Diceros bicornis minor: one gene and its partner. The protein of the gene in region 2 interacts with the protein of the main gene of each other region in a pairwise test. Links are inferred from orthologs where the notes say so. Each region holds a gene or a part of one and is shown on either strand. Other genes may lie near its edges.

What was found.
Region 1: the proteins of TACC3 (region 2) and KIZ interact in binary tests that used the Homo sapiens proteins (3 or more experiments, as listed by UniProt). The two-hybrid records come from large-scale screens. The link is inferred for Diceros bicornis minor from reciprocal best matches to the Homo sapiens genes TACC3 and KIZ.

Annotation. Positions count from the first base shown.
Region 1 is NC_080758.1:47,599,554-47,614,555, forward strand, and holds the start of KIZ (centrosomal protein kizuna), read left to right. Parts: upstream 1-8,671; 5' UTR 8,672-8,686; coding exon 8,687-8,775; intron 8,776-15,002. UniProt on the Homo sapiens protein: Centrosomal protein required for establishing a robust mitotic centrosome architecture that can endure the forces that converge on the centrosomes during spindle formation. Required for stabilizing the expanded pericentriolar material around the centriole.
Region 2 is NC_080747.1:1,098,081-1,113,228, reverse strand, and holds the start of TACC3 (transforming acidic coiled-coil-containing protein 3), read right to left. Parts: upstream 6,464-15,148; 5' UTR 6,362-6,463; intron 5,527-6,361; 5' UTR 5,526-5,526; coding exon 5,364-5,525; intron 5,207-5,363; coding exon 5,064-5,206; intron 3,599-5,063; coding exon 2,666-3,598; intron 1,565-2,665; coding exon 1,489-1,564; intron 1,243-1,488; coding exon 1,089-1,242; intron 1-1,088. Other genes in the region: TMEM129 (E3 ubiquitin-protein ligase TM129), read left to right, coding at 7,776-8,490, 10,276-10,750, 11,462-11,621, 11,750-11,998; SLBP (histone RNA hairpin-binding protein), read left to right, coding at 14,608-14,666, 14,775-14,891. UniProt on the Homo sapiens protein: Plays a role in the microtubule-dependent coupling of the nucleus and the centrosome. Involved in the processes that regulate centrosome-mediated interkinetic nuclear migration (INM) of neural progenitors.

The DNA of each region.
Region 1 (15,002 bases), on a different chromosome or scaffold from region 2:
CATCTGCCCATCAGCTAGTATTTTTGGGTGGTCTTCTGGGCTGGGTTCTGTTCCTAGAGCTGGGCTGAAGAACACCAAAGAAATATATGCCAGTCTTCCTCCCTGCAGAAGACTTATGATTGAGTTATGGTAATGAAACATGGCTTCAAAATACTCTCAATGCATTATTTAAGTAGCTGAAAAGATTCTAGGTTGAGTCCAACCCAAAAAAGGTCTACCATTGCGAAGAAGCACTGCCTCTGTCTCACCTTCACAGGCCACACTCCAATGTCTGCTCCAACTGCAGTGGCCTGCCCTGGATAGGACACAGCCTCTCATGCCTCAGTTTCCCTGCTGTAACAAACACTTGCCATTGTGAGAAGCAGTAGAAGACAATAGTTGAGAGTTCGGGCTCTGTGCTACATCATGTGGGTTATAATACCACTCCTCCTCTTATGAGATGTGCCGCCTTGGTTTGATGGCTTAACCCTGATGTGCCCTCAAATTCCTCTTCTAAAAAATGGGGATAATACATGTAAAGAGCTAGGAACAAAGTAAGGCTATGCTAATATTAGCTATTTATTGGTGCACGTGAGCGTGCACACACATAACAACCATTAACAAAATGAATCATTTGCCATTCCTCTTCGGTTACACGTAAAAGTCCTAGGAAATTAGGAATGCTCCTAATTCTCAGGGAGAAGTTGGAACCATTTGTTTATTGAATGTTTTCTATGGGCCAGGCCTGTGCTAAGAGCTTCTCAAATGTTACCTCATTCACAACTCACAATAATTTCATAAATAAAAATATCATTACCTTCATTTAGAAATGAGCAAAATGAAGCATTCAAGATGTTAAGAAATGTGCTCAGAGCCACACACCTGATATGAGGCAGAGTCAGGATTTGAACTCGGGTCTTCTGATTCCAAAGCATGTGATCTTTTGACAACATGGTGCTGTGTGCTCCCTTCCGTGTCCTGGTTTTCTGTTCCTGAGGGGTGGTGGGCTGGGATCCATACAACTGCCAGGGTTGACACAAAAGGACTGAAACTGAATCCGGGATTGAGGTTCCCAACTGATGTCAGCTACTGAGTCAGCAGCAATGAGTTCAGGAGACCTGACCCCTCTGAGTGGGCATGTGAGTGCAGGGCCAGCAGCGTTGATAAAGGACAGAGAGGACGCTTAGGAAATGACTCTGAGAGACAGAGACAAATAGTAAGAAGCAGAACATGGGCCCTTACCTCTGATGACTCTCTTCGTCTCCCAAAGGGATATTCTTCTTGCTCTCTGAAGAAGTGATGCCAGCTTGTGTTTACCGAGGGCTAACTCTACCAGGCGTGATTCTAAGTGCATCACACAGACGACCACATTTAATCTTCTCAACAAGCCTGAAAGGAAGGCACTATTACTATCACCATTTTACAGGTGAGGAATTTGAGACACAGCAAGGTTAAGTAATCTGCCCAAGGTCACACAGCTTGTAAGAGGAAGTAGTAGTATACCACGCAGAGGGGCACTTGAGCCAAAATTCTCAACCTCTGTGTTCTACACTTCTCTAGGACACAATGGCAAATGTTTGTTGGAGCAGGGAGGGTGTTCTCTGTGGTGGACACCACCCAGGTGCCCCAGGAATGAATGAAGCCAACATTTCTACAAAGACAAATGCCATGGATAATTGCAGACAATAAGAAGTGGACTGTTTTACACCTGGTACCCTGTCACCTTGTAAGCATAAACACATAGACATCAAATTAAATGGTATTTATTATGCAAGACTCTTTGGTTTCAGTCTGCTTGTGAGTTGTGAGAGCAGGCCTAGAGCATCCCTTTGTTTCCAATCCTTGTAGTTAGGAGTACTTGTTGAACCCTGATGAGAAGTGCATCTAAGTGGCAAACAATTATGAAATCCACCAAATGATTTTTGAGGAGAATCTCAGCATTCAAAGATTGCTCATGCATGACATCAGCACCTACAGGGATGCAAGGATGCTCCCCACGCACCAGGAGTCCAAGGCTGTGGAGTAGTCCCTCCCAGGCAGAACCAAGACACCATCCAGGGAGACACCACGCAGGGAGAAAAGAGTACAAGGACTTGGGTGTGCGGAATTTATCACTTCTGAGGATTCCGCTTTGTCAACAAATGAATAATCCTGGAGACCTCAAGGACTTCAGTGGAAATAGGCATGCAAGAGCTGTGAGACAGAGGGAGCCCATCTCCCTGAATTAGTGAGGCTCTAGCTGGAGCCATTCAACTACTCTATTGTTCTATCGTTTGGCTGTTATTTAGCTTTCATAGAACTGGTGTATTTTAGAGACCCACACATTAGTTGTTGGTTTACACGATATGAAATAAAATGAGGGAATCTATGATTTCATTTTATTTATTGGAATTTGCACCTGATTCTTATTGTTTTAAATTAGCTATTACAAATACATTTGAGCAAAATGTTCTTAGTAACCTCATGCCCTCGTGTATTAGTCAGGGTTCTCAAGGGAAACAGAACCAGTTAAGATAGATAGATAACTATATCTATATCTATATCTATATCTATATCTATATCTATATCTACATCTACATCTACATCTACATCTATATCTATATCTGGAGAGAGAAAGAGAGAGATTGATTAATTTTAAGGAATTGGCTTATGCAATTGTGGGGGTTTGAAAGTCCATAGGGCAGTCCTGCAGGCTGGACATTTCAGCAGGAGTTGATTTTGCAGTCTCGAGTCTGAAAGCGGTCTGGAGGCAGAATTCCTTCCTCTTTTGGGAACCTCAGTCTTTTCTCTTAAGGCCTTCAACTGATTGGATGAGGCCCACCCACATTATGGAGGGCACTCTGCTTTACTCAAAGTCTACTGATTTAAATGTTAATCACATTTTAAAAATACCTTCATAGCAACATCTAAACTGGTGTTTGACCATACAATTGGGCACCATGGCCTAGCCAAGTTGACACATAAAATTAACCATCGTACCTCTCCTCTTGACCATCATCACCTCCCACCAAGGATGACATCTTACCTTCCAGTTCCTGCCTTTCCACTTCCAAGTAATTTATGACTCCCCTCTTCCCCCACCATGCTAATCCATCTTTCCACTTTATCTCTATATCTGCACTGTCCCATACATAGCCACTAGATACACATGTCCTCTAAAATTTAAATTTTAATTAAAATTAAATGAAATAAAAAATTCAATTCCTCAGTAGCACTAGCCACATTCAATTGCTCAATAGCCACATGTGGCTTGCAGCTACCATATTGAACAGCGCAGAATAGAACATTTCCATCATTGCTGAAAGTCTATTGGCCAGAGCTGCTCTAGATGGTTCTTCATTGTAACTTTGCCTTCACTATCTAGGCTTCTCTTCTCAGACATTGACTCCTTTTTTAAAAATTTATTTTTTTATTGAGGTAACAATGGTTTATAACATTATATAAATTTCAGGTGTAGATCATTCTATTTTGACTTCTTTATAGACTACATTGTGATCACCACCAAAAGTCTAGTTTCCATTCATCACCATACAACTGTGCCCTTTTACTCCTTTCACTCTCCCCCCACCACCCTTCCCATCTGGTAACTACCCATCTATTCTCTGTGTCTATGTGTTTGTTTGTTTTTGTTGTTTTTTTAATCTTCCACATATGAGTGAAATCATATGGTATTTGTCTTTCTCCATCTGACTTATTTCATTTAGCATAATATCCTCAAGGTCCACCCATGTTGCAAATGGTAAGATTTCATCTTTTTTTTTGACTTAGTAGTATTCCATTGTCAGACATCAACTCTTAATCTCAGAGTTCCAGGTTTTCAGTCTCCTTCGCCATCTGGATAGTCACATAAATCCATTGAAAATGTTGTAGAAAGTTGTTTTGGTGCATTTGTGTAATTGTTGCATGGAATGTTTGTGTATTAGTCAGGATAAGTATGCCAGCTGCTGAAACAAACAACCTCAAAATATCAGTGGCTCAATATATTGAAGGTTTAGTTCTTGCCCAAGACACAGTTCTGTGCTCTATGCTTTGCAATCATCCACTCTTCTTCCAGGGCCTCAGAGTTCTCCATTGGATCCTCTGCATCTAGCTGGCCAACTAATGAAAAATAAGGAAGAGAGTGCAGGATGTTTGGAGGCCAGGCCTGGAAGTGGCTATATCACTTCTGCTCATACTTCATTGCCAGACTGGGTCATATAGACCCATCTAACCACTAGAAAGGATGAGAAACGTAGTCTTACTGAGTGCTAAGGAGGAAAATTAACAGAATGGTGAACACATAGTGTTATATCACAGCAGGTAAAAAATGCATTCTATGTCAATGAATATTATTCCTCAAATAATGAACCATGTATATGTGTAAACCCTTCTGGGTCACAAAATATATATTTTACACATCTCATACAAGGAAAATAAAAAATATCAGTAGCTGTCAAATGATGAGTTTCAAGGCCATATAGAATGGAGGATAAGAAAGGATAGACTTTGGATTTGGAAAAGATCTGTTTGAATTCTAGCTCTACCACTAGCTGGTCAAGAACATACTGGCAGCATGATCTTAGGCCAGGTGCCCTCAAAGGACTGTTATTGGGTTTAAATAAGGCAATAAATGCTTATACTGGTGTAAATGCTCAATGGGTGGAGGGGTTCCACATACATATTCATGTGGCATCACAGCCTTTCTCCCTACTTTCTACTTTTGAGTCATCTCTACTTAAAAGTGAATTTTCTAATAGCATAGGATGCAATGTCAAATATTTCTGAATAGTGATTGCAAAATGAAATACTTTCCATGTTCATGTCTGTTACAGGTTGAATTGTGTACCCCCTAAATTCGTATGTTGAAGTCCTAATTCCCAGCACTCCAGAATGTGACCTTATTTGGAAATAGGGTCATTGTGATATAATTAATTAAGATAAGGTCATACTAGAGGAAGGTGGGCCCCTAATCCAATATAACTAGTTTCCTTATAAAAGGGGAAATTTGGAGACACACATGCACACAGGGAGAATGCCATGTGAAAATGACTTCAGAGATCGGGGTGATGCACCTCAAGCCAAGGAATGCCAAAGATTGCTGGCAAACTTCCAGAAGCTAAGCGAGAGGCACGGAGCAGAGTCTTCCTCAGAAGGAACCAACCCTGCCCACACCTTGATCTCAGACTTCTGGCCTCCAGAACTGTGACACAATAAATTTTTGTTGTTTAAGCCATCCAGTTTGTGGTACTTTATTATGGCAGCCCTAGCAAACTACATAATATAATATCCAAGCAGTTATTGACTCAAATATACAGGATTTAATTTTAAAATTGTGTGGTGTTTACATTTTAAAATGTAAAATTCTAATTTCAACATATTTCCAAAACCAATCTTCCATTCATTGATCCAACTGTTTCTGAGCTACAAAAACGGCAATTTCATATGGTTCACCCAAAGAGCCATATGTCTACTGAGATGAAACACTGGCTTTCTTTACTCTTTGCCTAATGGGGCCATTAGGGACCCATCTTTGGAACTAGACTCATTAACATTACACAGATAATCAGCTGTGACCCGGGCCAAGTCCCTTACCTGCCCTGAACCTTTTTCTCCTCTAAAAAAACAAGGGGGTGAAGCTAGATTCCCTCTAACTCGCAGCTAAGACATTCTGTAGCTTATAAGAAGACTTGTCCATCTAGGCAGACTTCATGGCCTGTGGTCCAGGAAGTACAATCAGAGCTGTTTACAGAAATCAGCTCTGCTAATATAAAGGGATTTAAGAACAATATTAAAAGGGAGTGCTCCAGCAAATTAAATATTCAAAGTGAAAAACTCTGCATTTAATAAAAGTCTGTCACCATTTAGAATGCATAATTTTAGCATAAATACTCTAGAAATATTCATTTAGTTTGCTATGTGTTATTGTTAATAAAGAGGGTCCTGCATTTGGATTTGTCATATGTCATTAATAAATCAACCATAGAATGCAAATTTTAATTATTTTGAATTATCTATTTACTGTTTAATTATATTTAATTTTAGACTCTCCTAAAATGGCCTAATAAAAATTTGGGATGCTAAACGATGCCTCACCTGGTTACTCTATGTATTTACTGAAAATAATTAGTTACATTAATTGTTTGGGGGATTTTTTTCCCTTAGAAAACTAATCTGGGTGAGGGGAGACCTAAATAAAATATGCTAAAAAGATGCATTTTTTTTTTTTTTTGCCAGGGTTGTAGTACAATGTTGTTTGCACTAAAATCACTAAAGTAAACCTTTGTACACTATGTGGAAATTAATAAACATAAACCTGACTAAAATGGAGTCAGGTGGCCAAAAGGGGGAGCTCTGACACCCTATGAAGATAGCAGAGCCCAATAGGAAGAAGAAAGACTTCCTCTTCTTGCCAGCAACAGCTCAGCCAATGATAGACTACCACAACTCAGCCAATGAAAAGCCACTACACTTTAAACTCCCAGTCTCCTCCTCTTTGGAGGACTCTTTGTTTACATTAGCCCTCCCAACTTCCTCTTCCCCTCTATAAGAGTTTCTCCTCCCTTTTCTGCAGGACTTGCAGGTGGCTTGACATGGTTGTAGACCTTAGATTGCAATTCTTTGCTGATCCCAAATAAACCTCTTTGTGCTGGAGAAATAACTGGCTGTTTAAGGTCCACAACTACCATGGAATCAATTTGGTATAATGATTTGATATAACTAAATAAAAGTAACATCAGGATTACCCTTAGACCTAGGCAAGAGGGCCCCTACCCTGGCTTCTGTATATTACAAAGCCTGTTCTGGCCCTTTTCTGGCCATGCCATTCTATGCAAGGCAAGGAGGCCCAGGGCCAGGGGACATGCCTGCCTAGAGTGCGCTCTCTCTCTCTCTCTCTCTCTCACACACACACACACACACACACACACACACACACACACCCCATTCTGCAACACATTCCAGGTACCTATCACCCTGACAATCCCTGCTCAAAGGGCCCTAACCTCCTTTCTGAGGCCCTTAAAGACCTCTTTCCTGGACCCTTCCTGCAAGGGTGACTATCACTTCCTGCAAGGTGCTCGCCCTTAGGCCTGAGGAGTGGCCAAGAGGAGGCTGAGGTGAGGATGAGGACAGAGCTAGGACTTGTAGACTGGGGTGGCGGCGTAGGGGAGACACACACATCCCTGCCAGTGTGTGCAGCCCCTCACAGTGCAAGACTGGGCCCGGGGCGGGAAATAAAGGAGTTGGCTGGGGAAGGAGTCAGAGAACTAAATTTCCCTCTGGCTTTCCAGGTTCTTATGAAGGCACATTGGCCAAGGTAGGAGGAGAGAACATATTTTATCTACAAATTGTCATCTTGATTTATAATTGTTTAATATTTTGACAGATGGTATGAGGGCGTCCATTCACACTCTTGCCCTGGCCCTGGCAAATGTGAAGGGAAGGCTAAGTAACATTATAATTTTATATTATCGACCTTTGAGTAGTCCATCTCTCTTGCTAATGATTGATTTACTAGTTTAAGTCACACCTTGCAAGTAAGTGAAATTAATGACTGAGAAAAGAAACCAAAAGAAATGAAGAATAAGAGACTAAAGAAACTATAATTTCTTTTTTTCTGCCCTGCAGGTTTTGGAGTATGGTTGGCTTTCTTCAGGAAGCTTTTCCCCCAAGTTGGTGATGATGTTGATAAAAACTGATGCTTCCTATGTGCTGGGCCCTCTTCTAAACACTTACACACGTTAACAGATCTAATCTTTATAGCAATGGCATAGCTAGGCCCTGCAGTAACAATCTTCCTGGTTTTACAAATAAAGAACCCTGGGCTTCAGGAGGGTGACCTGCACTTGGTCACACAGTTGGGCAGTGGAAGAGGGGATTTGAGTCTAGGCAGCCTGGCTCAAGTCCCTGCTACAGGATTCTATATCTGCACAAACAAATGTCTGCTTTGCAAGCAACTTGTTAGCAACTTTCCTCTCCTCACCAACTAGTAATGTGACCTACAGCATTAACCACATCCTTATGGTCAGCACGGATTTACAGGTAAGGGATTGTTCTGCTGTCAGGGCTGAACACAGTTGCTTACAATTTTGTCCTTTTTTGTGGTGTTTTCTTTTGCTTTTAAGTGCTGGTAGGAAACCAAGCTTAGCACAGTGCGTGGCACTCAGCATATCCTGGGGAGAAGAGAGGGAGAGGTGGCGGGAGGGAAAGAGAATGCATCTTGCAAAATTAATGTAGTTTCATGCCAGGACAAAAAATGATCACGTGACTTGCTCCCAGCCACGCTCCATCCTTTACCCATGGTGGGGATCAGGAGTGGTCTTCTGACTGACCCTCAGAGAACGGCTCCGCCTGGAGGAGGACCAGGGTCTGTCCCGTGAGAGTTCTGAACGGTTAGGGAGAAGGAAGACGCCAGTCTCCGGCAGAGAGCCCTGGGCACCCAACCCCCAAGGACCCCTGCCCATCCCGCAGCGTGCAGCCTGGGCCGGCTCCCCCCAAGGCGGCCGTCAACCTCTCCCACGACACCCCGCCTCCGCCCCGCCCCTCCACGGGCCCCGCCCCTCCACGGCCGTCTACCCCGCCCATTCACGGCGCCCCGCCCCGCCCCCTGCACAGCGTCGGGGCGCCATGTTCACCCGCGGTGCATGGTGGGGCCGTCGCCCCCGACAACCCGCCCCTCCCCTCCGCGCGCTGGCCCGAAGCGGCGCGGGGCGAGCGTGGCGGCGGCGGCATGCCCCAGGCACCCGCACGGTCCGCGCCCCTGGCGAGCCCCGACTACTATGAGAGGCTGGGCCGCCTCCAGCGCGGGCTGCGGGACAGGTACGGCCTACCCGAGGCGGGGGCGGGAATCGGCCGGCGCCGAGGGTCGGCTGGTGCCCTGCCCTCTGTCCTTCCCACTCGCCCCGCCCGTGGGTCCCCTGGGCCTGGGTCCGCCCGCGACGGCCCCCAAGCTCCCACTGGGGCCTGGAGGACAGAGTTTACCGGAGAGACCCCCGCGTTGGAGATCTCCCGCTGGAGGACGCGGCCGCGTCACTGAATTTGCCCGGAAGTGGGAGTAGGAGTTCTCCTGCCTGTCACTCTCAGTCAAGCCTCGTGAATTTCTCTAGTTCCTTTCTACACGCCCCCTCCGCAGTCTCTTCAAATTGTCATCCCACCCTGACAGCTGCACTGCATCAGTGGTGACAGGTCCAGGAACGCAGGCAGGAGAGTGTGTGTGTGTTTGTCAAACATATGCCCTATTTAAATGCGGGAGACTTTTTGAGGGCCATAGTTCCAACGAAGGGATGAAATTTGCAGACAGAGAAGTCCAGCTTCTGGAGTATTCATGATACCTTGATTAAGACGTGGAAGATGAGAACCGCTGAAGACAGCTAGATCTAAGAGCACATAAAGAAAGAAAATTATAAAGCACTTTGCTATAAATAACCACATAAAAGATAAGTTGTTGGAACTATTATTTAGCTGCTAAATTAATTGGTGTTGGAAATCTCATTAGTTGACAAGAAAGGAAATAGATGTTTGGATCTCTTGATAAACAAAAGGTTTAATGAGTGTTAAAGTTGCAAAATCATTTTAGTGAAGAGAGCTGTGTGTGTGTAACAATGCTAAAATGACAACAATAGTTACGTGTAAGGTAAAGGCAGAAGTAAGTGGTTTTGAAAAGGAATTATATTGGTTTTATGCTACATTTAATTTTTGTCAAATATTTATGGAGCGTCTACAACAGTCCTCCTGAATTGTCCTCACCGTATTTTACTCTTTAATCTTTTTCTACATCCTATTTTCTTTCTGACATACCGCCGCTCACCCACCCCAGGAACCTCCTCAACTCCAGCTTTTGAAAAATTGCTTCCTTCAGTGCCTTCCCTGCACCAAGTATTGATCAGCCTGTTCCCTAACTTATGCAACCTCGGCATTCTTAAAGGACTCTAGATAGTGGCTTGAGTGACTTGCTCCCTGCCTAGATGGAGAATTCTAGGAGCTCAGAAACCATATCTAGCTGAAGCTTTAGCTGATAATAGAGTACCTTAGGTGGAGGAGGGACTTGATATATGTTTGTTCAAGGAATGGAAGAAATCCCACGTCAACCAGCTAACGTCCAAGAGGTGTAAATGTCTTGTATAGAACACTAGCCACACATTGCCACTAAATAATGACCATGTTCCAGTCAACCAGGAAGAGTGGACAGTGTGATATTTCAAAGATGATATTGTGTCTGCGTATACTTGATAATTAAAAGACAAGACATTGCTCTGTGCATCAGTACACTTAAAGTGCTTTTTTTTTAAAGAAAAAAACCCAGTTTCTTTAATGTTGTTTGTTATGTTGTGTTTAAAATGAAACCATTGGGGCCAGCCCCATGGCTTAGCGGTTAAGTGCGTGCCCTCTGCTACTGGCGGCCCGGGTTCGGATTCCGGGGGGGGGGTGCACCGACACACCACTTCTCTGGCTGTGCTGAGGCCACGTCCCACATACAGCAACTAGAAGGATGCGCAGCTATGACATACAACTATCTACTGGGGCTTTGGGGAGAAAAAAAAAAGGAGGAGGATTGGCAATAGATGTTAGCTCAGAGCCAGTCTTCCTCAGCAAAAAGAGGAGGATTAGCATAGATGTTAGCTCAGGGCTGATCTTCCTCACACACACACAAAAAAGCCATTATATAAGATTAAATACATTAAAAGAAATCACCAAGGGGAAGAACAATAAGAGTAATAAAATAATTTTGTGTGTGTGTGTGTGTGAAGATCAGCCCTGAGCTAACATCTGCCAATCCTCCTCTTTTTGCTGAGGAAGACTGGCCCTGGGCTAACATCCGTGCCCATCTTCCTCCACTTTATATGGGACGCCGCCACAGCATGGCTTGACAAGCAGTGCGTCGGTGCGCGTCCGGGATCCGAACCCATGAACCCCGGGCCGCCGCAGCGGGGCGCGCACATTTAACTGCTTGCGCCACCAGGCCGGCCCCTAAAATAAATTTTAAAATTTCAATTCTGCTCCAAGGTTCCTTAACCATTTTGAAAAACTAAAGTTTGGTTTATAGATTCAAACCAATTTAAGCTATTGTCCCATCCCCAAAGTGAAATCTTATACTGAAGTCCAGCTCCAAGTTAAAAAGCAAACAAACAAATAATAAAACAAATTCACCTCTGGGTGTGGGTGTAATTTTTTTTCTTTACATTTTACTAATTTATTTTTATTGAGGTCACGTTGGTTTGTAACATTATATAAATTTCAGGTGTACATCATTATATTTCGACTTCTGTATAGAGTCCATCGTGTTCACCACCCAAAGTCTAGTTTCCATCCGTCACTGTACACATGTCCTGCTTTACCCCTTTCACCCTCCCCACACTCGTCTTCCGCTCTGGTAACCACCAATCTGTTCTCTGTACTGTGTGTGTTCGTTTTTTGAGTTTTTTTTTTTTTTTTTTTTAACTGCTTTTTGACTCTGTTCTGTTAGAATAGTAGCTTAGTTACCCCAGGCCTTTAGTTATTTGTATCTCTTAGCCCAAGTTCTAAATTTTAAAATGTCGCTGGTTCAAATGGCATTCTTTTTGAACTAAGTTAATTGTAAGTTATCATTTTTGCTTCCTGTGCTAGGAACACCTGGCTGTTTATAGTCCTTATGGTATAATAACTGTGTAATGATTATTACTTAATGTTTAACACTTAATGCTTTAACTATTAAGCAAGGTGAGGCTGTTGAAATTATATAAGGAATTTGAGTCAAATTTTATAGCCTATTCATGGTTCTGCCTTTGGAGGTTGGTTTTATTTTTAAGTCAGTACAGATCTGTTGCTGTGTGTACTCATTTTTCATTTTAAAAGTCCATAACTAACTCTAATGCATAGTTGATAAGTACAGAGGCGAATAATTTTGGATACACAGAAAAGTGCAGTAGAAACATGGAAACCTGGGTTCCAGTCTGTGAACTGTTGTGTGACCTTGAGCAGGTCGTTCAGCCTCTCTGAACCTTGGTTCTTCACAGAAATGAGAGGCCTTGACTAATATGTAAAGTAAGGCCACAGATTTTTTTTTCTCTAGTAAATAAAGAGCCTCAAAGTAAAAAAGTTGAAAGCTGTAGTTTTGTGAAGCAACAAATAATGAATATCATTGTCTGTATCCTATTTGAGTGTTTGAATGTACCTGTTTTTCTTAACCAATCCCGCTGACCACAAGGACCATTGTCTCCTAAAGCTCCAGAAATTTACAGGCTACGACCTTGGGTAGTCACAGCTGCTTTATCAGTCCACAGATTTCCTGGGAGTGAGAGAGAAAAACAACCTGCCCTTTCTCAGCCCTGTTAGAGGTGGGTGATTGCAATGTTAGCTGGTCTAATAACTGGGCTTTTCCCTTGTACTTGGTGTGTTTCTAGCCCAGATTGTCTTAGCTGTAGTCACACATAGATATAATTTTATATTCTGAATTTTTTCCTTTTTGTATCAGTGTTTTCTTTGCATTGTGGGAAGGTCGTTGAATCTACAAGAGCCTGATGGAATGACTCTGTACAGTGCATATAGTGCCACAAGTGTGGTAGAAACATGTAAGTGGAGTTGACACTTACAATTATATAAAAACATCTGTTTAAAAGGCCCATTAACCAGCCCCAGTGTTTTCAATAGCAATATTGATTCAGGGTGAGATATCGTAAAGGTCCAGAAATTGATGCTGAGGTATTAGTTGAGTAAAGCTGAAGATGATATTGATACAAAAACTGAATAACAGGTGGCTTAAAAGGAGGAAACTAAACCACATGCTACACTTTAAGGACCACCCAGCTGTGTAAAACTTCGAAAGGTCCAAGTGAGGGGTGCAGGTGCCTGAAACCATTGGCAGTGGGTACATATCCCTGGGCTGGATGTTCCAAAGATTCTGAAACAGAGATTTAATCTGTAGGAATTGCAAGATGATCCTCCCAATAATCCTTTCTCTGGCTTTTTATTGGGGTAGATATCTTGTTTTAAGTCTTAAATTTAAAACATATGAAAGACAGCACTCACAGGCACTGCTGCATGGATGATGAGGTTAGAAAATGGGCCTGTGATGAAGAGTGAATGAGATTAGCATCATTTTGCCTGGAATAGAAGGCCAAGAGGTGTTTGTGGTTTTTCAGTGTAGGAAGTGTCATGCTAGAGAAGAAGTTTGACCAGTCTGTCCCTACTGGAGATAGAGCAAGAACAAAGAAGTTTTATGTTCTTTATTAAAAAGAACTTGCTGCTTGTGAGGTGGTGGATTCCCAAAGAGACTGTAGTCCTTCTTCACTAGAAGTCAGAGGTAAATTGTTACAATTATTTTGAAATGAGTTCAAGCTTACAGAAAAGTTGCAAGTAGAGGACAAAGACCTCTAATATTTCCCTCACCCAGATTCCTCAACTCTTAACATTTTGTTATATTTTCTCTTTCTCTTTCTATCTAAAATTATTAATCTTTTCTGAACCATTTGAGAACTGCAGATATGATGCCCCATCACTCCTAAGCACTCCAGTGTATAGTTCCAAAAAGCAAGGATGCTCTCTCTGTGATCACCATATAACTCTCCCAGTCAGGAAATCAATGCTGATATACCAATCCACAGACCCCAGTCAAATTTCACCAACTGTCCCAGCACTGTCTTTTTTATCGTCTGGTCCAGGAGTCCACCTGTGAACCCATTTGCCATGTCTCTTCAGTCTCTCCCCATCTGTACCTATTCCTCAGTCTTTCCCTGCCTTTCATGTTCCTGACAGTTTCATAGAGTACAGCTTTCATTCTGGAGAGTGAGCCTCAAGCTGGGTCCATCTGATGTTTCTTCATGACCAGATTCCAGTCATGCTTTCTTGGCAGAAATTCCACAGAAGTAAAGCATGACATCAGAGGCACAAGGTCATAGATGCCTTTAAGGGTCTGTCTCATAATTTAGGGACGAATTGCTCACTCTATCCGGACATTCATTTTTCATGAACTAAGTATCCTATTGATCACTGAACCTTAGAAGGGAGGAAAGTGACAAATAAAAATTTCTAACATGGAAGCAATTATACCGTGTTTCTTTCACTTCTGAGTTCAGTCTTCTTAATGAGAAAATAAAGATCTGTGTGGAGCTATTAGATTAAAAATTTGTGTTTCTGTAATTTTTTTTCTTTTAATTATTTTTCCTTTTTTTTTTTTAACGTAGGCATACCCCAACTGAGGAAGAGATTATTCCCCAAGCAAAGATTCAGTGTTTGGATTTTGGACCCCATTTTCCCATTAAAAGAATTTTGGTTAAATGATGGTTTCCATTCTAGATTATGCTAAGCAAAGAAATTTACTTAACCTATAATTTAGCTAACAGAGTAACTTTTGGGCTTTTTTTTTTTCTCTGAAGGAAAACAGAAACTAATAATTAAGAGCTCACAAATGGAATGTGGGCTCAGCCCCTGTCCCTCAGGGGGCCAAGCTAGGCTCACCTTCTGTTGGACTCCTTGTCGTTGATTCAGTCTTTTCTTTAGCATTTTTCTCTCAGACATTATGTGATTTCTCTTTCGGCCTTTAGTTATTGTTAACTTAGATTCGCAGTTTGGCTTCAGTTAGATGGGATTGAAGCTGGTACTTTGGTGGTGGTTGAGCGGGGCCCTCTGTGGTTAAACTTCCCAAGGACTCTTTTTGGGACTGAGATGGCTTCTCATTTAGCAGTTTTACCCCTAGCCCCTTGGTTTTGGCTGCTACCACCCCTACTGCCCAGTTTCCCCTACCTCTTGCCCAGGCTGGGTGTGCAGGGTAAGCTCTGTCCTCTAGCTGACTGCCAGCACTCACCTGATCATCACAGGATAGCAGTCAGTGACAAATCACGGCGATGTTACAAAGTTGTAAAAAGAAATCCCCCCAAATTTGAAGTAATAGTGTTAGGGGGCCTAGTCTTCATTAAATGTGAGTGAGGGCAGGTCTACTTTTCAGAGACCTCTTCCTAACTCAGTTACTTGGCTCTGCCCAGGCTTGTCTAGTTGGGAACAGAGCAAGCCACCAGTCTTCAATCTAGGGTGGATTTGTGGAGGCATTGTGTCCAGACCTGGTGGGATCCCCA
Region 2 (15,148 bases):
ACCCACCCAGATGGCTGGAATCAGAAAGTCAGGACAAGTGCTGGCGAGGGCGTGGGGAGATCCCAACCCTCACACATTGCTGTAAAGTGACTGCCAAATGGTGCAGCCACTTTGGAAAACAACCTGGCAGTTCCCCCAAAAGTTAAACACAGAGTTACCATATGACCCAGGAATTCCACTCCTAGGTATATCCACCCAAAAGAAATGGAAAACACATCCACACAAAAAAGTGAACAGGAATGTTCATAACAGCCTTATTCATGGCAGCTGAAAAGTGGAACCAGCTCAAATGTCTCTCAACTGGGGAATGAACCAACAAGCCGCGGTCTGTCCACGCTGTGGAGCACTGTTCAGCCAGACAAAGGAATGAAGACTGACACGCGCTACCCACGGACGAAGCTCGGAAACACTCAGTGGAAGACCAGACACAAACCCACACATGTGACTCCAGGGGCCCTGGGGGTGGCAGGCCTGCCCTAGTAGACCTCAACCACTGCTGTGGTCCCACCTGTACGGTGAGGACCTCGTGGTTATCCTACCATAGGCAAACCCCACGATCCATCTTGTCTTCCCCGTGCCTGTTGGATTGTACGTAACCACAACTGAGATCCCATCATGTTGTCTTATAGCTTTCAAAGCAATTCAGTCACAAGTTCTCACCTTACATCAGTGACTTGCCCTCCTGCCCACAGGAGCCCCGAGCCTCATTCCCCAGCAGGGGCCTGAGCGGCTCGTCTCACCACCGCGGGCTCTCACTCCAGCAGGATCTCTCCGACGGGCGAGGCCCAGCGTGTTGCTGTGTCTGCATCTGTGCGGAGCCTCATTCATACTTTTTGCCTATTTTTCTAAGTGAGTCTACAACTTCCATTTCTGGAAACCCCTTATGTTATAGAGGTATCAGTCCTGTTCTCCTGAAAATGCCCATCTTTTGACAAACCAGAAGTTTCTGCGTGAATAACTTCCAATCTGGGAACACAGTAGCCTGTAGAACGATCACCTGCAAATGCCATGAACTCACAGGCTCACAGGACATGTTTCAGGCAAATCGACAGCAGGAACAGATGAGTGATGACCAAGGGACAACGTACCCTCAGCTGGGTCTCGGAAGTGCTCGTCACTCGGGTCTGAGGCTGGCTCTGGCCCCTGCCGGGGGTGGGGCGCTGGGTCAGCGGGTGAGGCTGTCGGCTCACTGCCTAGACTGCTGGTGGGAGCCGATGTGCCCAAAGAATTCATGGTTCCCTCCTGGAAGGAAGGTCAGTGTCACCTCGGGTGGCTGTTTGGGCATCCCGTGCAGTCGAGGGTCCTGGATGGGGCCTTTGCTTCACCCAGTCTTGTCAAGATGAGGGGGTGTGGGGGGCAGGGCCTGAGGGGCAGCAGTGTGTCCCACCCGGTCACCACTGGCTTCCCTCTGTGGTCACAATACACAAATGGTGGCGACAGTGCTGGGACACGCTTCCACTCGGTCACGCACACGCATGCGTTCTGTACCTCGCCGGCTGCTCCTGAGGTCCCGGCCAGGGTCTGCACCACAGGTGTGTCATCTGCTGAGGCTGAAGGCACCTGCCTGAAGAGAAGGGTCAGCAGGGCCTGTGCCCATGTTGTCCCACCAACCCCCTGAGCTGCCACCTGCACTGTGGACCCGCACCTAGGAAGCCAGGCACAGGGGCTAAGCTGGGTGACCCGGCAAAGCCGTCCCCACCAACCTCTCCTGCGCGAGAATCGTGAGCCTAGAAGGAGGGCTTGGAAGCAGACAAGGAGCTCTGAGGCAGTTTCAACTCAATAACAAAGCAAACCACAAGGATTCATTCATCCTTTCTACCGGGAAACTGGCAAAAGCAGCTGGGAGGGCAGGGAGCCGGATGGGGACCCTCTCACTGGGCAGTTCCAGGGCAGGGACGGCAGCCTGCCAGGGAGTCAGGGTCTCTTCAGAGAAGCTGCGAGCCTGTGAGCTGGCCAGCTGCTGGCCAAGCTTCTCTTAGAACCGAACACTTGGCGGCCACCAAGAAGCTGTCGCCAGAGAGCAGTGAGCACGTGAGAAGGCACTCACACCAGGAGACAAGAAAGAGCCTTTAAGAGCCACAGCCAGTGCTAACGGCCCTTCATCATCTTTGGGATAATGGGTGTTTTTTCTTCTCTAGATATCTTTCTTGAAATTCTAAACTCATTACACGTAGTATTCTTAAAAAGCACAAGGGGCCGGCCTGGTGGCATGGTGGTTAAGTTCATACGCTTCACTTCGGTGGCCTGGGGTTTGCAGGTTCGGATCCCGGGCGCGACCTACGTACCACTGGTCAAGCCATGTTGTGGCAGCATCTCATATAAAGTAGAGGAAGATGGGCATGGATGTTAGCCCAGGGCCAGTCTTCCTCAGCAACAAGAGGAGGATTGGCAACAGATGTTAGTTCAGGGCTAATCTTCCTCACCAAAAAAAAAAAAAAAAAAAAGCGGGGGTGGGGGAGAGGACGTAACAGGGCGCAGGGACACTCTCTTTCCAGCTATTTCACAATAGGCAAGGCTGCTGTGAGCACCCTTCCTCTGTCTCGGGACGGGCCCGTGTGTGCCCTGAGGCCCCTTCTCAGGGGCACGTAGGCGGCATTTCTGGTCACAGGTCCACCAGCACACATACCACAGAGCAGCTTTCCTGACATTGCCACCCCATACTCACTGGTTCAGAGGTGAGTCCTCCAAGCCCGGAGGCGCAGTGCTCAGCTGTGAGGCCCCGGGACCGTCCTGGGGGTGTTCTGGGGGCCGAGCCTCCCTTCCACCTCCAAACGGGTTGAAGTTTGGGTCGTCCAGCTTGTCCCAATCCAGGTTGTAAGACCCCCAGAGAGGGAGAACAGGACCCTCATCTGCCTCCTTGGGGGTCTTCTGCCTCACCTCCGGTCTCCTCGAGGGAGGTTTAAGGCCAGGTCTCTTCCCCAGTTTCCTTGGTGGGGGCGGCCTTTTGGGGGCAGCCTCATCAGAGAAGTCAAATTCTAGCTTTATGGGCCCATTCCTGCAAGAGTCAGCCTTTTGACCATCGGCCTCTTCCTTCTGAGGACTTGGGGACGTGGCCTCTCCAGCCTTCAGAGGGCTAGCCAGGGCGGCATTCTCAGGACCAGAAGCATCCTCAGGGTCTGCAAGGGCCTTGCCAGGCAGGTCTGCAAGGGGCCCTTCTCCATGTGCTCCTTCGGGTGGAGGACTAGGAGGCGAAGCAGCCCCGGCCGAGGAAGCAGGGATCCCCTGCAAGCTTCCTCCTGCCGCTGTGTGAGGGTCCTCTGTTCTGTCTTGGGACACCATCCCGAGAAGGTCTTCTAGAATTTCAGAAGTGGATGTAATGCTTTTCTCTAAGGAATAAAAATGAACGTTTGCCTCCAAGGTTTGCTCAGGGCTGCCAGACATTCGTCCTGGAGATGCCACCTGGTTTTCAAGACTTTCCAGCATCTGGGGAGAGCTTGACGGGTTCAGGCTGGCTGGGGGAGCTGAGGTGGGCCCGCTGGAACTCCTGTCTTCAGAGGCTGGTCTCACGTCCCCTGGAGGGGGGTTGGCATCCAGCACTGCTGGTTTCTGGAGAATTCCATCGGTCGTTTTGGTGTCCACTTCCTTGGTGAACTGTTGGCTTTTTAGAAACAGACTTAGTTAATACTAAGCAACCCATTTTGTTTTTTACATTTTAGCCCACATGAAAACATTAGCTAAAAACAGAAAAAAAGAATGTTTAGTCAACCATCTCCTCAGGATTAACTGTCACAAGTATAGTCCCATAAATCAATGCTGGTGAGCAACCTAGGGACACACGGGTTTCTGAGAGTGAGCAGAAACCTGACAGATACATGACCAAAGTTAAGGTTTTCTGTGCTACCCTACTTTCCCCTTTTGGTTGGGGACCACCAGCTACATAGTCAGGGACAGTCAGGCACACGAGGGTCAAGCCCTTCACTGAAGAGAGAAAGGCAGGTCGAGAACACTGCCTTCAGAAAGCAGGGTCCCAGCTCCTAGGGCCACCCTCCCTGGGTCCTCCTGGCCTGCTCCCTGACTTCTGCTCTGTGGCTCTGCAGAAACAGGGCAGAGGCAGGAACCACCCTGGCCCTCGAAGCAGGTCAGATCCTGCGGCCAAGAGGCCGGGTTTCCCTCCCTTCCTGAGGCTGTTATAAAGGAACAGTATTTAAGTCCCTCTAATCTCACTCAGCTGAATTTCAAAAAGTATAAAACTGAAGCTGACAAGTAGCAAGGACACCTGGGGAGGGGAACAGATTCAGGCTCGAGGAGCTTCCACGAGGAAACAGAACCGTGGCCCCAAGAACATTTTACTTAAGTTAGGTGAAGGATATGTTAGCGATACTTTGCTTTTATACCTTGCTCTGTACATCTGAAACCTGTTTAGAAGAAAATGCAAGTTTTAAACAGCTTAAGTCAGCAAAAGTCAAAATGAAAATGTGCCAGTGAGGACCCTTCCCACTCTGGATGCAGAGGGTCCCTGGGGGCCTCAGTTGGGTTAGTTCAGCCTAATCTGGGGGTGAAGAGCTGCCACTAGGGTTCTCCTTTCCAGACAGAGGCAGGAAAGGCCGTGGCACTCACTTAGTAGACCAAGCCAAACACCTAACTCCAGGTGAGGCTGCAAAGAAGCTTCTCCCAGTTAAAGCCAGGTGTTTAAAACCTGGTCCCTGAGGCCACTCGCACTCTGACCAGATTACACAACAGACATCTCCTCTGCCTTTAAAAGAACACAGCTCAACTTGCAAGCAGAAGAGAGACCCCAGTGGAACACAAAAAGAGACATAAAACCACAAAGTGCCCTTCCTTAGAGATGTGAGCAGGACATTTCGTGAAGCTAGAGAAACAAAAAATGAGGCCAACTTGTTGGCAAGGGTACAACGAAGGAATGGAATATGAAATTTAAACTTATTATAAGTGTTCCATTATCCACTTTTCCAGTAACGACTTCCGATGCCAAATACTCTGGACCATGCACCACACAAGCTCAGAGCGAGACCAAGAGAAACTCAACCAGATGAGCAGAATTTTCCTGCCGAGTCTACGAGAGATGCTACAAACTGCAGTACACAAGCAGCACCCACACTTACTTCTCTTTCTGCGTCCAGACTTGAGGAAGGTTTCTTAACCCTCCGGCGTCACCCAGAGCAAAGCAAGCCTCCGGTTTGCTGCTCACAACAGGACTTAGAACTCTGTGCGTCTGTGGATCCCGCAGAGGTGTCTGAAAAGTCACCTGTTGGGAGGGAGACAGCACCTGTTCACCAAGTTCGTCTTCAACCACTATGCGAGGAGCACCCTGCCCTGGCAGCTCATTTAAGTCACCAGGAAAGCAGGTTCCAAGGTGACCTAACATGACACACGGTGATCTCACATAGGCACAACGCGCTCACCTTCACGGCTTTGGCTATGCTTTTGGGTGGCACATTTTCCTTCTGTGACAGACGAAGAACAGATGATCTTCCGGTAAGTTCTGGTGGTGAAAACAGGAAGTTGCAGTTCTCTGTACTTTTGTCACCAGTGACATTTTCGTCATTGAAGATCTGCAGACTCATTCTGAAAAAGCAAACAGCGTGTGTCAGCATGAAGGCAGCGACACTGCGGCGCCTGGATGCACCAACGTGAAAAAGATGGAGCTGACTCTGCAGCTCGGCCGGGAGGATGGCCCCTTCCTGCGCAGCTGGTCACACCTCAGGCAGTGTGTCCTCTGCCAGGTGCTCCCTGTCCTGCTGCAGGGGAGCCACCACCTCCCAGGCCTAAGGGCTAGAAGGGCCTTCAGCCTTTGGGGCAAAGAGGAAAACCCAGGTGCTCCCAACAACTCGAACTTCATGGGTAAAAGTCAAGAGACAAGTAAAAGGTGGCCTTGGAGAACACCAGAAGAGGCAGAGGAAGCCTAGGTCTCCCACAGGCCTCCACTCGAGGCGCCAAGGCTGTGTCAGAGCTGGAGCAGGTGGCCACGCTGGCAAAGAAAAGAAAAGCGGAAAGGTGCGGTGGCTCACTCTTCCCCACGTGGCTGGGAAATAGAGACAAGGTGAGGGCAGCAGGACCGCCAAGGCCCAGAGGAGGAGCTGGCAAAGGAAATACGCAGTGAGGTGCAGAACTAAGTGGGGAGCTTCTACATCGGGGCCTGGAGTCTGGAAATACACCAGGAGCCTCCAGTCAGGCCCAGAAGGTTCTGGAACAGCCCCATTCCTTCCTACAGTTCTCATCATGGTCGCCAACATGACATTCCCAATCTAAGAGTCATCAGAGAACTGGGTATGGACCTGCGCAAGGCCGCACCATGGGTACCTGCTGGTGGTGGGGGCCCTGGGGGCTGCAGCTCGAACAAGGCTGAGGTGTCTGAGGCAGAAAGGTGCAAAGGGGGCCTGGAGGGGTGTGAGGTCGGCACCTTGGAGGGTGTGAGAGGAGGCCGGGAAGTGGCGTCAGAGGCTCCTGCAGCAGGCCTGGGCTGGGTCAGCCCTGGCTTGGCCAGCGGGCCCCCCTTCGGTGTGTGGAAGCGGGAAAGACTCAGGAGTCCAAGGTGACAGCTAGGTCTTCCGCCTGAACAACTGGGTGAAACACGGAAGGGGGCCTCGAGGACAGCTTTCTGGCCGTCCCTGGCCTGGGGAAGGTGGGAAAACAGTGATGGCGGTCTCAGTCGGTTTGGCTTCTACTGACCACGGGACCACGGGCGGGGGCTCCGGAGCAGAGGCCGCCCTGCGTGCGCGGACTGCGGTAGGGCAGCAGCGGGCGGGGAGGGCTCGCGCCCAGGTCTGCGGCGCAGGGGCGCGGCAGTGGGTGACGGCTCACAGCTGGGGCTGGAGGAAGCAGCAGAAGCTGCCCCGTTGGAGGGGGGCGTGGCCGCGCAGAGCCGGAAGGGCTAGGGGTCCGGAGTCCCGTCTCCGACACCCGGGCAGGGGGGCGGGCAGCGAGCCGGGCGCGCGTTCGGTGCTGGAGACGTGCATTTGCAAACCACAGCTACGGGTGGTATGTGAGGCTGGACAGGGTCACCGAGGTGAGGGGTGGCCGCGGGCCAGGCCCTGAGGGACCCCGACACACGGACCTCCTGGAGGATGACCCTCGCGGAGGGCGACAGAGGGGAGGCGGAAGAGCCAAGAAGGCAGGAGCCCGCCGGGCGTCTCGGACGGCGGGGCAGAGGTCACCCGGCTCCGCTCCGGGCTACGGCGGGCCGGCGGGATGGGCCCGCTGAGAGGGACCGGCGAGAAAGCGTCCTTGAAGAGGCGGCGGGAGGGCAGGGGCGCCGCGGGGACACGCCGAGGGTGGACCCGCCGCCGGGAGGGCGGGTGTCGGCAGCTCCGCGGCGGACAGAGGCCGGGGCCGGGCCGGAGGGTGCGGAGGAGGCTGGGATGGAGCCCCGGGCCGGGACCCGCCCGCCGCCGCCGCCGCCGCCGCCGCCGCCGCCTTACCTGCCGGCCGCGGTGCGGAGCCGAGAGAGCGAGAGGCGCCGAGTCCAGGAGCCCGCCCGCCCGCCGCCGATTCAAATCCCGACGGTTGGCGCGCGCGGCCAATCAACGCGCGGCTGGGGCGCGACGCACGGGACGCCGCCGGCCAATGGGAGGCCGCGCCTAAGGCCACGCCCCCGCGCGCCGGCGGTACCGCTTCCGGGGCGGGGAGCACGCTGGGCGCAGTGCGCGCCGGAAGTCCTCGGGAGCCGCGCGTTGCCGACGAGTGGAGGGTCAGGGGTGCTCGCAGGCAGACGATGACTGCGGGGCCTGCTGTCGCTTGGGGATCTCGTGCTCTGCTACGGACGGTAGACTGGGCGGAAAGGCCGGAGCCTGAGAGCCGCTCGCCCGGGCTTCAGTATGCCCAGCTGTAAAATAGGACCAGGTGTAGCGCCGCCCCCAGGCCGGGTCGTGAGGAGGAGCCGAACCTTCGCGAGGATTGTCGCGGCAGCTCACGACTTCGGGTCATGTGCGGGAAGCGGGAACTCCATGTTCCGTAGTGCCCCACGGGGCTCGATCTCTCACAGCGTACTGCGCCGGCTTGACGGTGGGACTCCATCTCCCAGAGTGCTCCGCGGGCGGGGGAACTCCCATTCCCAGAGTGCCCCGCGGGCGAAGACCTCGTCTCCCAGCGTGCTCCACGGGAAATCCCATTTCCCAGAGTGCCCCGCGGGCGAAGACGTCGTTTCCCAGAGTGCTCCACGGGAACTCCGATTTTCCAGAGTGCCCCGCAGGCGAGGACTCTATCTACCAAACGGCTCCGTGGGCCCCCTCTCCCAGGGTGCCCCGCGCCCACCGGACCGGGAAGCTCGGGCCTGTTCCCCGCGCCGGGGGCGGCGGGTCTCGCCGACGGTTCCCGGCGGCGGCGCGATGGACAGCCCGGAGGTCACGTTCACGCTGGCCTACCTGGTCTTCGCCGTGTGCTTCGTGTTCACGCCCACCGAGTTCCACTCGGCCGGGCTCACGGTGCAGAACCTGCTGTCGGGCTGGCTGGGCAGCGAGGACGCCGCCTTCGTGCCCTACCACCTGCGCCGCACGGCTGCCACGCTGCTGTGCCACTCGCTGCTGCCGCTCGGTGCGCCGGCGGGGCCCGCTCGGGGGGCGGAGGCGGCCGCGCTGCGGGCTCCAGAGGCTGCCGGGCCGCAGGGTCACCTGTCTCGGAGAGTCGGGGAGGGCGCTCGGGGAGAAGCGGCCAGCCCCGAGAGCGAGGCTGCGTCCGCCCGCCCGGCCGCTCGCAGGGAGCAGAAGAGCAGGCTCGGACCCCGGGGGGATGCTCGCCCGCTGGGGCAGGCGCGAGCGGTCACATGGGGTGGGGGGCAGTGCCCCGGAGAAGGGTCTGAGGGCGGGGGTCTGGGGGACAAGGTGGCCCTGCCCCAGGCCTTGGACGGTGGGCGTGGGAAGGGCAGGCAGAGGTAGCGACGCCAGGCGGGGTTGTTACAGGTGCGGAGGCCGGGGAAGGCATGTGTGTGGCCGGCCCGCTCCGAAGTTGCCCAGGGGTCGTGCTGGGCAGTGACTTGGGGCCTAGCTGGGCTCTGGGGGTCGGAGTGTCAGCTGGGTGGACGGGGGACTGGCTGGAGAGTGGGGGAGCAGGCGGGGGTCCGGAGAACACGCAGGCGGAAGCAGGTCTGGGAGGGCAGGGGCGGTGGCCCTGCCTGCAGCTCTGTGGACACGGAGGAGTGTCCACCTGGCAGGCGCGCAGCAGCCTGGCCAGTATGGGGAGCGGCAGGAGGGGCCTGGGCTGAGGCCGGCCGGTGCATGGGGGCTGCCTGCCTGCGTGGACGGCGCGCCGAGTGGAGCCCACGCCGGGATGGGGAGGGAGCTGGCGTGGTGAGCTGGTGGCCCATGTCTTATGGGCCGGGTGGTTGCTCTGCGTGGTGTTGCGGTAACTGCCTGGCCGCCTCCACAGAGCACCCAGCTCCCTGTGAGCAGGGCAGCCCATTAGCCCCGTGCCCAGGTGAGGAGCATGCGGCCTGGGGCCTGGGCTCCCCTGAGGGTGGCGGGTTGGCTTCTGCCCTGGAAGCTCAGGAGCCCTCCAGCTTCCTGGAGCCCGTGGGGGGCTGGGCCACCATCCGAGGACGGGCAGGGACATCAGGACTTAGGGAGCAGAGTGACTCCAGGAGGCCACACCCAGAGGAGGAGGTGGAGCCTGGCCTTGTGGCTGGACACAGGGTCTTGTTTTGTTTTCCAACTTCTTTTGAAATGCCTTTTTTGGGAAACTTTGAATCATATTTGTCGCTACATGATAAATTATCTTAAAATGTAGTGATTTCGGCAATAGCAAACTTATGTCATTATTTTTGTGATTTCATAGCTGCCACTGCACCCCATCACTATCTGCGTTATTCATTTTGAGTGCAAAGTGGCCTCAATCTGGCCAGCAGGGGCCCGGAGCTGGCTCCTGTGTTCTTGCTGACAGCCCCCATCGTTTGGCACACGATGTCCCAGCCCTGGGATGGGTCACACTCAGAGGGGTGGGGTCAAGAGGCCAAGATCCCACTCTGTGGAGGGCAGCTGTGCATCTGGTGACACCAGATCATTGCATTTGTTGTTTTTCTAGTTTTTTTCAGTATTCTTATGTTGTGTAAAATTAAAGTAGCAAATTAAAAACGTTTTTCCCTTTTTTATGGGGTCACTGTCCGGGTCAAGGCTGATTTGGGCCAGTGTGGAGGCAGGTGAGGTCCACCTGCTCTGGGTACCCTGGTCTCGCCCTGGGAGCTGACCAGGGCAGAGGGCCAGGCCCAGGGTTGGGGACGAGAGGAACTTCCCTAGGAGGTACAGGGACAGCACTGTGGCCCTCACTGGGGGAGGACAGTGGCCTGGCAGTCCCGACCTTTGCTGAGACTCACTCTGTTGCTTGCAGGCTACTACGTAGGCATGTGCTTCGCAGCCTCAGAAAAGCAGCTCTACTCCCCGAGCCGGGCCCCAGAGGCCTGGCAGCTCTTCCTCCTGCTGGTGGTCACCCTGCTGACTGTCACCTGCTCCCTGATCTATTACTGGTCCCGGGACCGGTGGGCCCGCCACCCACTGGCCCGTACCCTGGCCCTCTACGCCCTTCCGCAGTCGGACTGGCGGGCCGTTGCTTCCTCTGTCAACACCGAGTTCCGGCGGATCGACAAGTTTGCCACGGGGGCACCGGGAGCCCGTGTGATCGTGACGGACACGTGGGTGATGAAGGTGACCACGTACTGCGTGTATGTGGCCCAGCAGCAGGACGTGCATCTGACAGTGACGCAGTCGCAGCAGCACGAGCTCTCGCCGGACTCCAACTTGCCGGTGCAGCTCCTCACCATCCACGTGGCCAGCGCCAGCCCTGCCGTGCGGGCCTTCGACATCCGGTAGGCATGCCCGAGGTCAGGTGGGGGTGAGCCAGCCAGTGCCCAGGTTCCAGTCTTTGTGCCCCCCGGGAGGCGATGATGTGTGGAGCAGCCCCTGCAGCCATCCCTCCAGTGCCTCCCCCTCAGAGCCCCCACTGCACCCCCCAGGCCCCTCCCTGGCCCCCTCATCCCTTGCCCCCCTTGCGCCCCACAAGTACCCTTTCCTCTCTCTTTCTCCAAGCTCTTCTCTGAATCTGCCTTTTCAGCTTCTTTGGGGAGCATGTTGGGGACACTTGGTGGCTGTACAGGATAGACGCTTGGTGGCTGCCTCAGCTCTGAGGTCTGGGTTCTAGCTGAGGTCTTGTGTCCCATTCCAGCTGAGCTCTTGAGACACGTTTTGGGTCTGCTGAGGACCAGCCTTGCTGTGTTTCAGCTGCAGTTGGCCTGCCTTTTGTCTCTCTCTGCAGCCAGTGGGGTCAGGTGGGCAGTGCTGGGTCCGTGGGCTCTGGCCTCAGGGCCATCTCTGTTGGCTGGTTTTCATTGGACAGCTGGGCTGTGCCTGAGTCCCCATGTTCTGTGTGATTGTGGTGCCCTGGTCACCCTCGGGGCACAGCCTTGGCCTCCCTGCCACCTGCCCCAGGATCTGTGTCAGGTTGCCGGGAAATGATGGTCCTGCCCTGCCGAGGGGCCTCAGTCCAGCGGCCCCAGCCCAGCAGCCCCGCCTCCCTGCAGGCTGAACTCCACGGAGTACGGCGAGCTGTGTGAGAAGCTCCAGGCGCCCATCCGCAGCGCGGCCAACGTGGTCATCCGCCAGAGCCTGGGTGACCTGTTCCTGGAGACGTTTGCCTCTCTGGTGGCGGTCAACCCGGCCTACTCGGTTCCCAGCAGCCAGGTGAGGGGCTGGGCAGGGGTGGGCGGGGTCCCATAGCCCAGCTCCTATGGGCCAGGTCCCTGGGGTGGTGGGGGGCCCCATGGGGTCGTCTGGCCAGGCTCCCCGTGATCCCCTCGGCCCACCTGCAGGAGCTGGAGGCCTGCATTGGCTGCATGCAGACTCGTGCCAGTGTGAAGCTGGTGAAGACGTGCCAGGAGGCAGCTGAGGGCGAGTGCCAGCAGTGCTACTGCCGCCCCATGTGGTGTCTTACCTGCATGGGCAAGTGGTTCGCCAGCCGCCAGGACCCGCAGCACCCTGACACCTGGCTGGCCAGCCGCGTGCCCTGCCCCACCTGCCGTGCGCGTTTCTGCATCCTGGATGTGTGCGCTGTGCGCTGAGCTGGCCAGGCCCTGGCAAGGGAGCAGCCTTGGTCCAGGCCAGCCGTGCCAGGGTCCCCACAACTGCCTTGGGGAGCAGCCAGGCTCCCAGGCCCAGAGTTCTTCTCCCAGCGGGCAACTTGCCTCTGCTCTGAGGCTGTGGAAGTGCAAGGGCTCCTGTTTGGAAAGGAAGTTCCAGCTGAGGTCCTGGCACTGGCAGCAAGGAAGGTCTTGAGTGCCTCTGCTTCCTTCGCTCCCGTTTCTCTGGGTGGGGCTGTGCTGGGCACAGAGAACACAGCCTTGGGCCCATATCCAGAGCATTCTGGGCCTCCTGAGCTGTCTTCTGGGAGGTCCCAGTGTGTCTAACGTGAGCCAATTGCCTTATTTTTACGGAGCACACCTGCTTCTCAGTTACTTTTAGATCTAGATTCCTCTAAGACTTGGCCGAAGCCTTTCTTCCTGCTTCTGTCCCCAAGCCTGCTGCTGGCCCTGTGGTGTTCGCGCCCCCCGCCCCAGAGGCTGCTCTGAGCACTCAGGCAGAGCTTGCAGGTGCAGGGGGAGACCTGGGGTACTGCTCCAGGGTGAGAGCACTGCCTAGAGCTTCCCAGTGGCTGCAGCCAGCCAAGGGGTTGCTCTCTGCCCAGGGAGATCCTGGGCTTCCCCTCAGGGGCTGGGGGAAGGGCTGGCTGCTCTCAGCTGCAGCTCCCTTCCTGTGTGTTTCTGGGAGCCACCCGCTCCTGGAGGGGCGTGCACTTACATCTGCTGCTGCCCCCATGGGTTCAGGGAAAGGCCAAGCCTCAGACTCTTGGCCGAGCGTGGGTATTGAGCTGAAGATCAAGTGCCACTGAGACAGCCAACATCAGCCAACAAGCCTGTTGGGACACAGCGCAGGGCTGGCCACAGCCCCCCAGGGTCCATCTGTTTCAGGAGGGGACATGCCCAGTGGTCAAGGTGTGGACAGGTGTCTTCCCGATTCCTGGTGGCACAGTTGGCCAGGGGAGGGCAGTGCCAGTCCCCAGCTCTGACATATGTGGCTGCTGGAGGGGCCCTCGCTTGGAGCCCTGAAACCTGGGGCCTTAAGCACTCTAAACCTGGTCATCCTAAGCAGGGCTGATGGACCCGGCTGGCCTGGATTGCCCAAGGCTGCACTGAACCCCAGGGAGTTGGGAGCGGAGAAGGCCCAGATTTGTGTGCCCGCAGGGTGCTCAGCAGATGAAGGCCATCAGAGGGGCCAGCCAGGAGCCACCCTCAGCTTCAGCTTGAAGTTTTGGGTGCTGCCAAGGGAGGGCTGGGTCTGCGGTAATTTTTAGTACAAAAGAGTTACTTAGTTTTATGAAGATACACCTATTGCAGCAAAGCAATACATATTTAATAAAATGTTAGTCTGAACTTTATATTATCTCCAAACGGAATATTTTGGTTTTCTGGTATTCGAGCTTTCGTAAAGAGGAAAAGCCAACTTAGAAGTGGCAGTGTCGTGCCCACTTCAACGTGTGCGTTCTGTTCGGAACCAGAAGGGAGACGGGTGCTCCAGGAAGTTCCCTTCTAATTTCCTAGCTGGGGCGGGGGTCTCAAGAAGCCCATTTCTGGGGCACCTGCGGGAGTGGGCGCACTGGGCCTGGGCCTGGTGTTCCGGTGAAGGGGCTGCGGCCAGGGCTCTGGGGGCGGGGTCCGTGAGCAGCGCTCAGGATGCAGGAGCCCGCGGGTGCGGGGCCTGCTGGTTGAGGCCTCCGGCCCCGTGCTCGCGGCCGTGTCCCCTGAGGTGCCGGGTAGCCTGGGTGGCCCAGGAGGGCAGCCACACCCGGCCGCCCGGGATCTCGGCCGGGGGAGCTCCTCGACAGCGCCCTCGCTGCCCCCACGTCACTGCCAGACCCGAACGTTTTTAGGAAAGTGGTGCATATAACGGGCTGAAACACGACGGGCGGACTCGAGTTCTCTGCGGCTTCAGTGTTTGATTCTTGCCACTCGGGGCCTCGTCTCCTCTCTTCTGCACACGTTAGCATTTGACGGCATGAGGCCGGGCCAGGGCCCCGGAGATCGCGGTGTCAGCGCGGGAGGCGGCGCCGGAAACCGCGGGGGTGAGAACTGACGGGCCTCGCGGCGCGGGCATCTCCGCGCGAACAAGTTCCGGCCGAAGCTGAAGAGACAGCGCTGCGCGCGACCCGACGCTGCTCGCCTGCCTCCCCTTCCGGGTTCCCGGTTCCCGCCAGCGCGGAGACCGCCCCGCCGGGCCGGCCAATCGGAGTCCGCCCCCTCCTAACGCCCGCGGCGCGCGCGACCGAATCTCCCGCCAATACCCCTCCCTCGCCCGCGAAGGCGCGGCCGCCTCACGCCGGCGGGGCCCGCTTCTCTCGGCCTCCCCTCCGTCCCCGGCGGGCGGCCCTCCGCCTTCCAGCGGCGGCGTCGGGGCTGCGGTCGCCCCGGCCCGGGCCGCCCGCGAGGCGCGCGGCGGCGCCTCCCCCGCGGTGGCCGATGGTCGCGCCCGGCCTGGCGCGCGGGCGCTCCGGGGGCGGGGCCCGCGGCGCATAAAGGCGGCCGGGGCGGGGCGCGCGCAGTCTGTCAGCGCCGGCGCCGCGAGGAGGCCGTCGCCCGCGCCCGGACCCCGCGCCCCGCCTCGGCCCGCGCGCGCCATGGCCTGCCGGCCGCGAAGCCCCCCCCGGTGCGGGAGCCGCTGCGACGGCGACGCCAGGTGAGGCCGGGCCGCGCGCCGGGGGGCGGCCGGGCGGGGCCGGGCGGGGGTCGGGGCCGGGCGGGGCCTCGGGGCCCGTCCGCCCCTGACGCGGCCTCTCGTCGGCAGCCCGCCGCCCCCCGCGAGATGGAGCCTCGGCCGGAAGCGCAGAGCCGACGGGAGGCGCAGGAAGCCGGAGGACGCCGAGGGCCCCGCGAGGCCGGCGGGCGACCGCAGACCCGACAGGTGGGCCCGGCCCGGCCCGGCCGGCGAGGGGTCAGGCGATGCCCGGCGGGGCTCCCTCGGGCCGCCGCGGGCGGGGGAGGCGGGCATTGGGCCTTGGAGCAGTGTCGGCCTGTGGGTCACCCCCCTCCCGACTAGTCAAGTCCTGTGGATCATCTCCCTCCCCACTAGTCAAGGCCTGTGGGTCACCAGCCTCCCGATTAGTCAAGGCCTGTGGGTCACCAGCAGACTAGTCACAGCTGGTGGGTCACCCCCTTCCC